Mus musculus: one gene and its partners. The protein of the gene in region 1 interacts with the protein of each later gene in a pairwise test. Links are inferred from orthologs where the notes say so. Each region holds a gene or a part of one and is shown on either strand. Other genes may lie near its edges. The genes, in order: Hdac6, Erbb4 and Erbb2.

Evidence for each region.
Region 2: the proteins of Hdac6 (region 1) and Erbb4 interact in a protein complementation assay, tested with the Homo sapiens proteins (2 studies listed by BioGRID and IntAct, with this or other methods). The link is inferred for Mus musculus from reciprocal best matches to the Homo sapiens genes HDAC6 and ERBB4.
Region 3: the proteins of Hdac6 (region 1) and Erbb2 interact in a protein complementation assay, tested with the Homo sapiens proteins (2 studies listed by BioGRID and IntAct, with this or other methods). The link is inferred for Mus musculus from reciprocal best matches to the Homo sapiens genes HDAC6 and ERBB2.

The regions. Positions count from the first base shown.
Region 1 is NC_000086.7:7,941,305-7,944,954, reverse strand, and holds part of Hdac6 (histone deacetylase 6), read left to right. Parts: intron 1-156; coding exon 157-241; intron 242-340; coding exon 341-381; coding exon of another isoform or gene 382-385; intron 386-1,217; coding exon 1,218-1,314; intron 1,315-1,470; coding exon 1,471-1,568; intron 1,569-2,817; coding exon 2,818-2,922; intron 2,923-3,042; coding exon 3,043-3,111; intron 3,112-3,650.
Region 2 is NC_000067.6:68,072,480-68,076,129, forward strand, and holds part of Erbb4 (receptor tyrosine-protein kinase erbB-4 precursor), read right to left. Parts: intron 3,086-3,650; coding exon 2,939-3,085; intron 717-2,938; coding exon 619-716; intron 1-618. UniProt on the Homo sapiens protein: Tyrosine-protein kinase that plays an essential role as cell surface receptor for neuregulins and EGF family members and regulates development of the heart, the central nervous system and the mammary gland, gene transcription, cell proliferation, differentiation, migration and apoptosis.
Region 3 is NC_000077.6:98,411,259-98,415,008, reverse strand, and holds the start of Erbb2 (receptor tyrosine-protein kinase erbB-2 precursor), read right to left. Parts: upstream 2,526-3,750; 5' UTR 2,347-2,525; coding exon 2,274-2,346; intron 1-2,273. UniProt on the Homo sapiens protein: Protein tyrosine kinase that is part of several cell surface receptor complexes, but that apparently needs a coreceptor for ligand binding. Essential component of a neuregulin-receptor complex, although neuregulins do not interact with it alone.

The DNA of each region.
Region 1 (3,650 bases):
AAGTATAAAGACTTCAGAAATGACAAAGAAAGGCTGATGTTGCCGGTAAGGGGTGAGCAGCTATGGGGGTGAGGGGCGGAGATGGGACAAGAGCAGACATGCTCCCTAGCACTTTTGCCTATCTGTGTGTATGCGTGATTCCATCCACTCCTGCAGCTTCCCTGAAAGCCCTGAGCGGCTCCATGCCATCAGAGAGCAACTGATCCTGGAGGGCCTCCTGGGCCGCTGTGTGTCCTTTCAGGTGACTCCTCCACAGCCTTCGGATGGTGGGTGCGGGCCTGCGAGGACCTAGGCCTGGCCTGGCTTCTAGCCCCCCTTTTTTTTCCTTGTGCCTCCCCAGGCCCGGTTCGCTGAGAAGGAGGAGCTGATGTTGGTTCACAGGTGAAAACTTAGGAGCTTGGTAGGGTGGGGAGGAGGATACCCAGGCTCAACCAGGACAGACTGAAGGAATCCCATAGACTCTGTGGCCAGCCTTGGGCACGTCCCTGAGCCTCTCTGAATATGTTATTGCTTTAAACAAAAAACAAAAAACAAAAACAAAAAAAAAACACAAACCCCTAAGTTCCAGACAAGTATGATGGTACATGTCATCACTTGGGACATGAAGACAAGCGAATCAGGAAATCAAGACAGCCTCAGCGACATAGCAGGTTTAACTTGGGTTTATGAGACCCTGTCTGAAAAAGCCAATCCCGAAAGAAAAAGAAATCTTAAGTCCTTCAGGAGGGTCAGTGTGTGTATCAGGTACCTGACAGCATCTTAAGCCTGTGAAGGGCTCGTGTTATTATAATCTGGTTCGTTAACTGATGGCAGATACTTGCCAGAATGATCAGAATGAGTCCTGGGGGAGTCTAGAAACTCAAAGGAAGAGGCCTGGTACAATGTGGCTCACAGAATAACTAGCCTCGCAGAGAGAATATCTGAGCTGAGTTCCAAGAGGCAAAAAGGTGGGTGAGTCCAGCAAAGAGAAGGGCAGAGGAAAGGGAGAATCAACAGAACTCTTAACTATCTAGTCAGAGGCCTAGAATTTCAAGTTAATGGCTGTCTCGAGGAACTAAATATATAACTAGAGATGGGAGAGGCTAGAGAAGAAAAAGGGACTACAGCCTGCACCCCAGCTGAACCCCCTAGGTTGACTATGGAGGCCCGACTTAATGCGAGGTCTGTCTGCGGAGGGACCAGGGCTGTAAAATCTTTCCTCTATCTTGTGTCCCCAGCCTGGAATACATTGATCTGATGGAGACAACCCAGTACATGAATGAAGGGGAGCTTCGAGTACTGGCAGAAACCTATGATTCAGTGTATCTGCATCCGGTATGGATGAGAACTGTGGGGTCAGGGTGTGGCAGCAAGTCTTGGGTGTCTACCGTATCCATGCCAACCTCACTGTGGGAATGAAGAGCTAAATAGTTAGGGCCATGCTTTCTCTCTCTCTCTAACTCTTTCTCTCTGGTTTTCCACGGTCCCCAGAACTCATATTCCTGTGCCTGCCTGGCTACAGGCTCTGTCCTCCGGCTGGTAGATGCACTCATGGGGGCTGAGATTCGGAATGGCATGGCCGTCATCAGGTAGGACTCTGAAGCGTTGGGCATCTTACATTTTTTTAAAAAGCATTTCCACATAGTGGTGCGTGGAGGTGCATGTCTGTAATACCAGTACTTATGAGATGGATGTTAAAGGAATGCTCGGGGGGTTCAGGGCTAGCCTCAGCTATATAAATTTGAGGCGAGCCTGGGCTATCTAAGACACCTTCTCAAAAAAAAAAAAAAAGCCCTACAAATGTGAAATGTGTTAACTCAGGTACCCTGTCTTCAAGTGGTTGAAGAGTCAAGTGGTACAAAAAGGGGGTTCAATAAAATTCTCTCTCCTCTTTGTTGATGGACCCCTGAAAGGTGCTCATTGTCACCAGTAACTTCCGTGTCCTTCCACAGATGGTTTTACTCAGTTAGTAAGTAATAAGTATCCCAGTTCATGGCTTCAGGGACATGTATTTCTTTTCTATCTGGAACATCTTGAAATTCAGATGCAGCGAACAGTGCGTGACATCTCAAGCCTCAGCCTGTGCCTTTCACTGTTTCATTGTTGCCCATGGAAGGTCAGAACATTGGGCCACAGCTGACTTCCTAGAACTGATAAAAATGCAGAAGATAGCCTTTGTCCTCCTCAGCCCCTTTTTGTAAGCACATGACAGCACTCCTTTCCGTACCGTGCATTTAAAAAAAAAAAAACCCTTGGACATCTTTATCTTTGAAAGCTGTCTCTTAACAGTATATGGGTTACACTCGTGTGAGATGCCATTGTGCAAGCATACTTTTAAGCTAGTCACCCCCTTGCTGGTGGGAATTTTGGTTCTCTTCAGGCTTTGATAGCATACACCAGTGGTACATTTCTAAAGATAGCACTTTTTATTATATAGGTCTCAGCTAAGCCTATGTAGCAAAATGACTGGGTATTAAAGAGTATGCTTTCATACTCTTATGGATAGCTTAATTGATTTTTATTTTTTGAGACTGGAGCTTGCTATACATTCTAGGCAGGCCTTGAACTATCGATCCTCCTGCTTCAAATTCTTTCTGAGTGTTAGTATTGCGGGCATGTGCCACAATAGCAAATATGGGTGAGGGTACCTTTGGATGGTTATGTTTAAATCTCCTTGGTTGAGAGAGTGTTGGCTTGGGGGCAGTGAAGCTTCAAAAGCCACAGTTACTCAGTTGCTGGCAGACTTATAGAATCTCTCTAGGAAGAATTGGGAACACAGGAGAGTCCACCTCTGGAGAGGAAGACTCCCAAACCTGTAGCTTTCCCTTTCCTGCTTAGGCCTCCTGGACACCATGCTCAGCACAATCTTATGGATGGGTATTGCATGTTCAACCATCTGGCTGTGGCTGCCCGCTATGCGCAAAAGAAGCACCGCATTCAGAGGTTGGTAGCCAGTGACAGACGGAACGTGGGTAGCATGGAATAGGGGGTGCTGTGGTCTAGGTTGTTCCTCTGTGTTTCACTTAGCCCCCTGCACAGAGCTCCCCTCTCTCCTGCTCACAGGGTTCTCATCGTGGACTGGGATGTGCACCATGGTCAAGGAACACAGTTCATCTTCGACCAGGACCCCAGGTACATCCCATGTCTCACCCTAAGTACTGGATTCTTAACCATCAGGCCCAGCCACAGGGGCTAGGAAGCCATTTACATTCAGTTGTCCTGGAACCAGGAAGTGGATGCTTTTCCTTGTTGTCTACTGTCTCCTAATTTCACTCTAAAGCGGAAACTGTGGCCTTCCCATTTCACACATGGTCAAACAACCTTACAGGTTCCAGTGTCAGGCAGAGAAGTGAAAGATGTGGGGTTTGACTTAGTGTTGGAGAGCTTGTTCAGCAATTTACCCCTGAGCTGGAAGGGACCTCAGATTAGTGCTTTGTCTTTTTCAATTATGACAACATTTCAAACTATTCTGAAAAATTAGTCGGGTGGCAAGGTGGCTCAGCAGGTTAAAGTTCTTGCCTGACAACTAGAGTTTGATCCCCAGGACCCACATGGTGGAATGAGAGAGAAGAAACTCCTGCAGGTTGTCTTCTGACCTCCACATATACATACCATAGCATGCACGTATCCCCTCATCTGTAAAGAGTTGGGCATGCTGGAGCATATACCTT
Region 2 (3,650 bases), on another chromosome or scaffold:
ATAAATAAGCCAGTCCACTTGGTTTTTGGTGTTGAATGCCAACTATCTTTTGGATTGTTCTTTGGTTTAGTTAGGCATCAATTCGTTTAAATTGAGTTATTGCTTAGATACTATGCACCTCGCCTGATAAAACAATCCACATGTACTTTTTAAATTAACATATGAACGTACAGATTTTGTTATAGTGTTATGATAGAAAGGACATACATACATTATTTTGGTTTATCATCTTCTGGTACTCCTCTCCTCTGGCTGTTTAGCCCTTTCCTTCTGAAATAGTCTTTCCATTTCTCTGTCATATGTATTCTATTAGCCTCTTTTGTAGTTTACCTTTCCCTTGAAACCTTTTTCCTTTCTAATCATCTCTTCCTAGTTTTGTGGCCTATACCATGTATATGTGTATATGTATGCATGTGGGTTATGCATATGAGAGAGAACATATAGCATTTGCTTTTCTGAGCCTGCTTTGTCTCATAGACATATATAGAACCATATTCAGTTTCATGACTTCACAAGTTCTTTCACATGGTCACTTTATTGCTGGATGTTTTCAAAGTTGCAAAGTTTAAATAGAGTTTGTTATTAGAGACTCTTAAAAGCAACATCAAAATAACTAACCTGAATAACTAGGTATCTTTGAGGGTCTCTAGCCATTCTTGAAAACTCAGCAGCCAGTTCTTTGAATTTAGGTCTGCTGTCAGCATCGATCATCCAACCTGGAGATTAATACACAGTAAAATATTAGTGTATGTAATAATTAGTAAAGTTGAAGTTTGGGGAAATATGGGGATATATATATATGTATATATATATATGCAAAACAAAACTAGAGAAAGAAGTGAACTATGCTGTAACTCAATTAATTGACATTTGTCACAAAATGCAATATACTATAAATAACATTTTTTAAATTCAATTATTTTTAATTGTTTCTATGTGTGGGTATGGGCATATGAGGGCAGGTACACAGAAGCCAGAAAAGGGCATTGGATCCCCTGAAGTTGGAGTTGCAGGTGATTGTGAATCGCCTGACGTAGGCATTGAAAGCTAAATTTGTGTTTTCTGCAAGAGCAACAAAAGCTCCTAACTGCTGACCCATCTTTACATGATCCCCAATTTTCATTCTGAGTCAAACTCAATTTTTTTTTAGCTTGGAAAATAGCTTTTAAGCTAACCATGGGAAATTTTAGAACCTCAGATTTTGTTGTTCTTGTTTTGGAGTGTTAAGATAATGTCCTTAAAGCATTCTTTGATGGCTGCAGAGATAGAAAATGAAGTTTCAGATCAAGAGTACATGGTAGGAAATATTTGCTTCTCATCATAGCACTGTAGTACAAAAGATTGAAAATGGGGAATTTGATAGCAACTCCTTTTGGCAGGTTTGTTCCTGTTTGGAAGGAAAATGGAACATGATTTATAATGTGTGTTCAACAATCCTCATTACATTTATCTTAGAATTAGCTTTCCCAGAATAAAAATACTAGTTTTCAAGGTAGGTAGTCTTCTTTAGCTGGGAGTTCAGAGAAAATGGATCTTAACTGCCTATGCTCTGTTTAGCTGATGAGATGACAAGAATAACAGCGCCCAGCTTGCTTTGATTTCCTTGCCAAATGATCCTTTTCTAAAGCATAAACTCTCCAGGGGAAGAGAGAAAAACAAAGGTGAAACATTGTATATGCTTTGTCTAATAAGGCAAAATGTTTGCCTGCCTTTCCGTCATCACATTGGGGTATTCAGATAACATCTGATGCTGGTTATAGGATCAAATTATCATATAACATAGGGATGTTTTTAAGCTCTCTCCCAGGTCATGGAGTAAACAAGGACTGATCTAATACAGAATTCTTCTATTCCTGGAGAGTTAATTTTTAATTCTTGTTTTGGAAATCCTTTGGGTATCATCTTATGCATCCTTTGTGTCACCTCTCTTAAGCTCAAGCACTCTGCACCTTATGGGTATTCGTTTCCAAAAAAAAAAAAATGCTTGTTAATACCAAGATGCTAATGACAAAGCTACTAGAGCCAAAAAAGGTTAACTTCAGCGTGAGATATTTGTTTCTCCCTAACTAAATATTGAGTAAATAGAACTATGCTTAGAGAAAAGGGCATGCTGACCTGCACTGCAAGGAACATTTTTTATTCCTTCTCTTCCTGTCAGAATAGATCACACATGTCATGAATATAAATATGAGAAGACCTGGGCCCAGAGTCTCAGAGTCTCTTATTAATAAAATGCTTATTCACCTTCACCACTTAGTGGCTTCCTTTAACCCTGTGTAAATCAAAACTGGAAAACCTCAGATTATACAAGAGAGATGGCTGCCAGTTAATCGCACTTAAATTAAGTCAGAAACCCCAGAGACTTTTTTAATTCTATTAAAATTAGGGGTCTAGGCTTTCAAAACACATTTATAATACATATGTGCCTGGAGTATAGAAGTGGAAAGAAAAGTAAGAACATTTGATGTAAGCAAATGACCAAATTAAAAAGAGTAAACATCTTAATCTTTACTTCGTTGTGGATTCGTCTCTTTTGACTCCCAACCTGCTCTGTTAACTTATGTTTAATTAAACCCATATCTACTTTAATTCATTTTCAGACTCTCAATGATGTTTAGCTATTTTCCCATAAAGATTAACATTAATATTATTACTAACATTCTTATGAATAATTATCTCTCTTTATGACAAACTTCAAAGGGTATGGAAATTTGAAAAATTGTAAGAGTAAGAACGACATAATTTTTACTTTGTAACTTAGTGGCATACTATTACCTCATAATAGTAATTACCACAACATGTATTTATATTCTGCATTCGTAAATATTCTTGCTACTCTATTTAACAATTCAGAGAAACATTTTGCAGGTAAAACAATCTAAACTTTTATTTATTAAGAATGATAATGCAGGCAGAAAGAGTGATTTTGCAGCCTTACATTTGACCATGACCATGTAAACATCAATAGTGCAGATGGGAGGCTGAGGCAGACGCTCTCCTTTCTCCAGTAAATCGGGGATTTCTCGGGTTGGAATTCCATCATAGGGCTTTCCTCCAAAGGTCATCAGTTCCCATATAGTGACGCCTAGTTGGAAATACAATTCTCACATAAGCAAATTACTGTCACAATTTGAATGAACACGTATCACGATGCACTTTTACAAAGCAAACAGTTGAAACTTAAAGAAGCTCCTTTCTGGTCTTTCACTCACTGCCAGGATTCCAATGCTAAACCTTCCGGAGACAAGTCACAGTAAGAATTCTTTCACCATTGTCTTGGTGATTTTAATGCATAGCAAGAAAGATTTATAATAGATGCCAGAATTTAAAGCAAGTCCTCCCATTTGTACCTAACGGCAATGCCAATGTTTACTGATGAAAATTGTTTCACATACACTAAAATCCAGAATACCATGCCTTTACTGTATGCATGTGTTTAATGCCAAATAAATGTAATTTCAGGAAAAGCCTGACATGGATTAATTTTTAAATTAGTCTCTTGGTAGGAAACGTCTTCATCAAAGGCAGAGGTGATCGGTTCAGATGGTTGCAGGTGGCTGTTGTTATGGTAAAGCCTTGTGGCTCTCTGTTCAGCTAACACAAAGAAAACATGTGGTGTAGAGCAATTTACTGAGCACATCCAGGAGTCT
Region 3 (3,750 bases), on another chromosome or scaffold:
GGTTGTGAGCCACCAGGTGAGAACTGGGAACTGAGCCCCAGGTCTTCTGCAAGAGGAATCTATTTAGTCCCCGTATGTATAACAAAAGGTAGGAAGGGCCTGGAGAGACTCAGACTAGAATTGAAATAGGAATGACCCCTGCCAAGTTAAAGACCTGTGTTTACTGCATTTCACAAAACCTTTAGTACTGAGGAACCCAGCAACAGCTTGATCCTCTGGGTCTCCCCAGATCTCCTTTCCCCTACACACCTGCCCAAGACCAGTTCTGGGGTCGAACCTGGAGCTAGAGGCAGCTGATGGTGCCCTGCCCTTTTAACCATTCCTGGCAAGGCAAACTCTGCCTTGTCCCTCTGCATCCAGCAGTGCATCTGAAGGGATGAAGGCTCAGCAGCCCTCCACTCCCTGTCTGGAGAGCAGACCCTTCAGATTCCAGCTCTACAGCACAGGGCCACTTCTGGTCAACTGCAGACCCTACCCAGCTCAGGTGAAGGGTCTAACCTCACTCTTCTGCACGGAAAGTCAGCAGGAAGGCTGGCCTCCTGAGAAACTGAAAGGAGACTCCATCCTGAAGAAGGCAAGGGGCATCTCCCAGTGTTTACAACAGATAGAGCCCAGTGCCTTGAGGAAGTTCCTAGAGAGGGCAGAGTTCATCCTGTGTCCCCAAGTCAGCAGAGAGACTGCTGTTTGGCAACAGAAACTGGGAGGAACACACAACCATCATAAAAACCTCAGACACACAGGGGTATCCCACAGTGAGCACAGCAGTGTGCTGTCAGGAACTGGGGCAGGAGAGGGGGGCAAGGGGGCACAGATGGTGATACTCCACCAGCCTCCAGGCTCGCTGGCCTCTGGAGAGCACCTACTGTTTCCAGAACCTGTGTTCTGCATCTTCAATACAGCCCACTGATTACGGAAGCAGTGTCTCCGCACTGCTCAGCTAGACTCGTATTTATGTGAATCATATATCATATCCTGTGGCTGGTCACATTGCCTGGGATCCACCAGTTACTCCAGGATACTTCATTTCCCCAGCCCAGGTTTCCCCCCTGGGACAAGGAGAAGGCTACTAATGTTTCCACTGTGGAGTTGTTCTTAGTACTGTAGAAGGAATGCATGCAAGCCACCACCCACGGAGCCTGGCAGAGCTGACCCACACGGGGTGACTGTCAGCTTTTACGCTCATGGTAGAACTGGACATATGGGTCAGTATACACACTGCTGGGTCACCCTCCCAGCCCCCAACACGAAGATAAAGGCAAGAAAACAACCCAGCTCTCTGTCTACCCCTAGCTGACCTTACTCCTTTTCGGTGCCCTCCCCCCGCCCCCAAATGCCCAGGAACCCTTTCCAGTTTATTGTATGGAAGCCGGGAAAACACAAGACCACCCTTCAAGATCCGAGCCTTCCCGGAATCCCAAAGCACACAGTACTTAAGCTGGCTCTAAGGAAATTTGTTCAAAACAGGGCTGTGGAGTGTGCAGCACTGTGATAGAGGGCTTGCCTAACACGGGCGAGACTGGGATGGAGGGTAGGGGTGTTCCATCCCCAGCACAGAAGAGAGAGAGAGAGAGAGAGAGAGAGAGAGAGAGAGAGAGAGAGAGAGAGAGAGAGAGAGAGAATGAGAGAGAACTGTTGCAAACAAATGCCTGCCCCTCCTCCTGCTCCCCCATATCCCAGACACTATCGATAGGCAACTCAACTGCGGAGCCGCCACTCGGTCCTCCCTGCTCGACAGGATGGGTTACTTTCCCCACCGCCCCCTCCACGGCGACCCCACTGGAAGCTGGAGTAACTTACTAAACCCAAAGGGCCAGAGGGGGTGGGAAGGGGGAGGGGAGGGGCAGAGGGGACCCCGAAGGCATCCTGCCCAGTCCGGTCCGGAGGCGGAGGCTGCCAACTGGAAGAGCTCTGAGAAAGCGTGAGGGGGGCTCGAAAGGGGGGAAGCAGGCGCACGCACGCACAGCGCTTCACACACCCTCCGGAGGAAAACTTTCCGACTAGTTTCAGAGAACTTTCCCAAGGAGTTCCCGGAGTCTCCTGGAGCCCGGGAGGCTCCGGTGTAGCGAGAAGGGGCCGGTCCGGACCTCCAGTGTGGTTCTCCGAGTGACTGTCCCATCCCCAACTGCTCCGATCTCCTCCGGGCCGCGGCGCCGGTAGCCGGAATCGTCCCAACGTCCCGGACCGCCCGGCCGTGGAGCTCTCGGGGCCCCGCGGCTCCGGCCGCCCGTGGGCGCAGCCGTAGCGGCCCGAGCCCTCCCCAAGCCAAGACCCACCTTGGGTACCCGCGGCTCCGGGGGACAGGAGGGCGAGGAGGAACCCCCAACGGCACCAGGCCGCCAGCTCCATGATGATCACTGCGGCTCCGGCCCCATGGCTCAGGCTGGACCAGGCTGCGGGCGCGGGGCGCGGCGAGGGCAGGCACAGGCGCGGCGCCGGAAGGGGCCGCCTGGGAAGGGGCGCTCCTGGGCTCCGGGTCCCCAGCGGCGGGCAATCTCAGCTCCACAACTTCACGCCGCACTTCCTCGAGCAGCCCTCCTCCTCCGCCTCCTCCGCCGCCGGTGATTGGGAGCCGCGCGCTCCCGGCTCGCCCCCCCACCCCTCCAACTGCATTCCAGCAAGACTGGGAGTGGCTGCTCCCAGCTTCACTTTCTCCCTCCCGGCGCAGGCCTGGGTGCGTCGCGCCCTGTGCCCTGACGCCTCGCTTGCTTGCTTGCAGTTCTCACCCACTTCCTAAAAGCAGGGCATCTCTTTACCCCTCTTTGCAGTCTTGGGTGGGTTTTATCTTGGATACTCTTGGAACGTTTGCATCACACTCTTAATACCAGATAAATGGTTTGTCGCCACATCCTCAGGTAAAATCAGCCTGGGAAGGGAATGTGTTATGTCTAACTGGTGACTTCCAAGACTCTCTGGGATATCAATTCTGTCCTTTTGGGTATCTCCTGCCTGATCTTAAAGGAACCCACAGAACTAGGAGAAGCGAGTCACATCGGGAGCCCTCTGTTCATCCTTGGAAGAACAGCTTCTCCTGTTTCTTTCTCTTTTTAAGACTTATTTTTATTTCAAATTATGTGTGGTCATATATGGGTTTTGGGGGGTGTCACATAAGTGCTGTTGCCCACAGAGGTCAGAAGAGGAAGTGGGAATCCCCCAGAGCTGGAGTTACAGGGTGCCGCCCACCCACTTTGGTGCTGGAAACAGAACTTGGGTCCTCTGCAAGAGCAGCACAGGCTCTCAACTGCTTAGCCATCTCTCCAACCCCATGCCCACTTCGTTCTGACTTTACCCAGTTCTCAGTTTCATTCATCGTCCTCTCTCTCCCTGTCCTTTTCGCCTGCCAGTTTACCCCTGAAGTACCTAGATATCACTCCTGAAGCCTGGTAACAGGTGAGAAAGGAAACAAAGGTATGCCTTTGGTTGGAAACTCCAAGAACACATTGCAAGAGACATGTTTACCAGGATGAATTGCCCGTCGTTTATCTGAAATTCAAATTGAACTTCATTACGTCCTTCTTCTTTATCTGCTACATCTGATGATGGTACTTGGAATGTTCCAGTAAAGAACACACCTGTGCTGGTCAAGATGCAATCAGAGGCATCTTTGGGGGAGAGAAATGAAGGGTGGCCCTCTCTTAATCTACTTTCATTGAACTGAAACTCAGTTTCAGGCAGACACTTCCACGCTAGGGGCCAAAGAACATGGGACTCTGGTATCTAGAAGACCTGAGTTCGTATCTTCCCTCTATCACA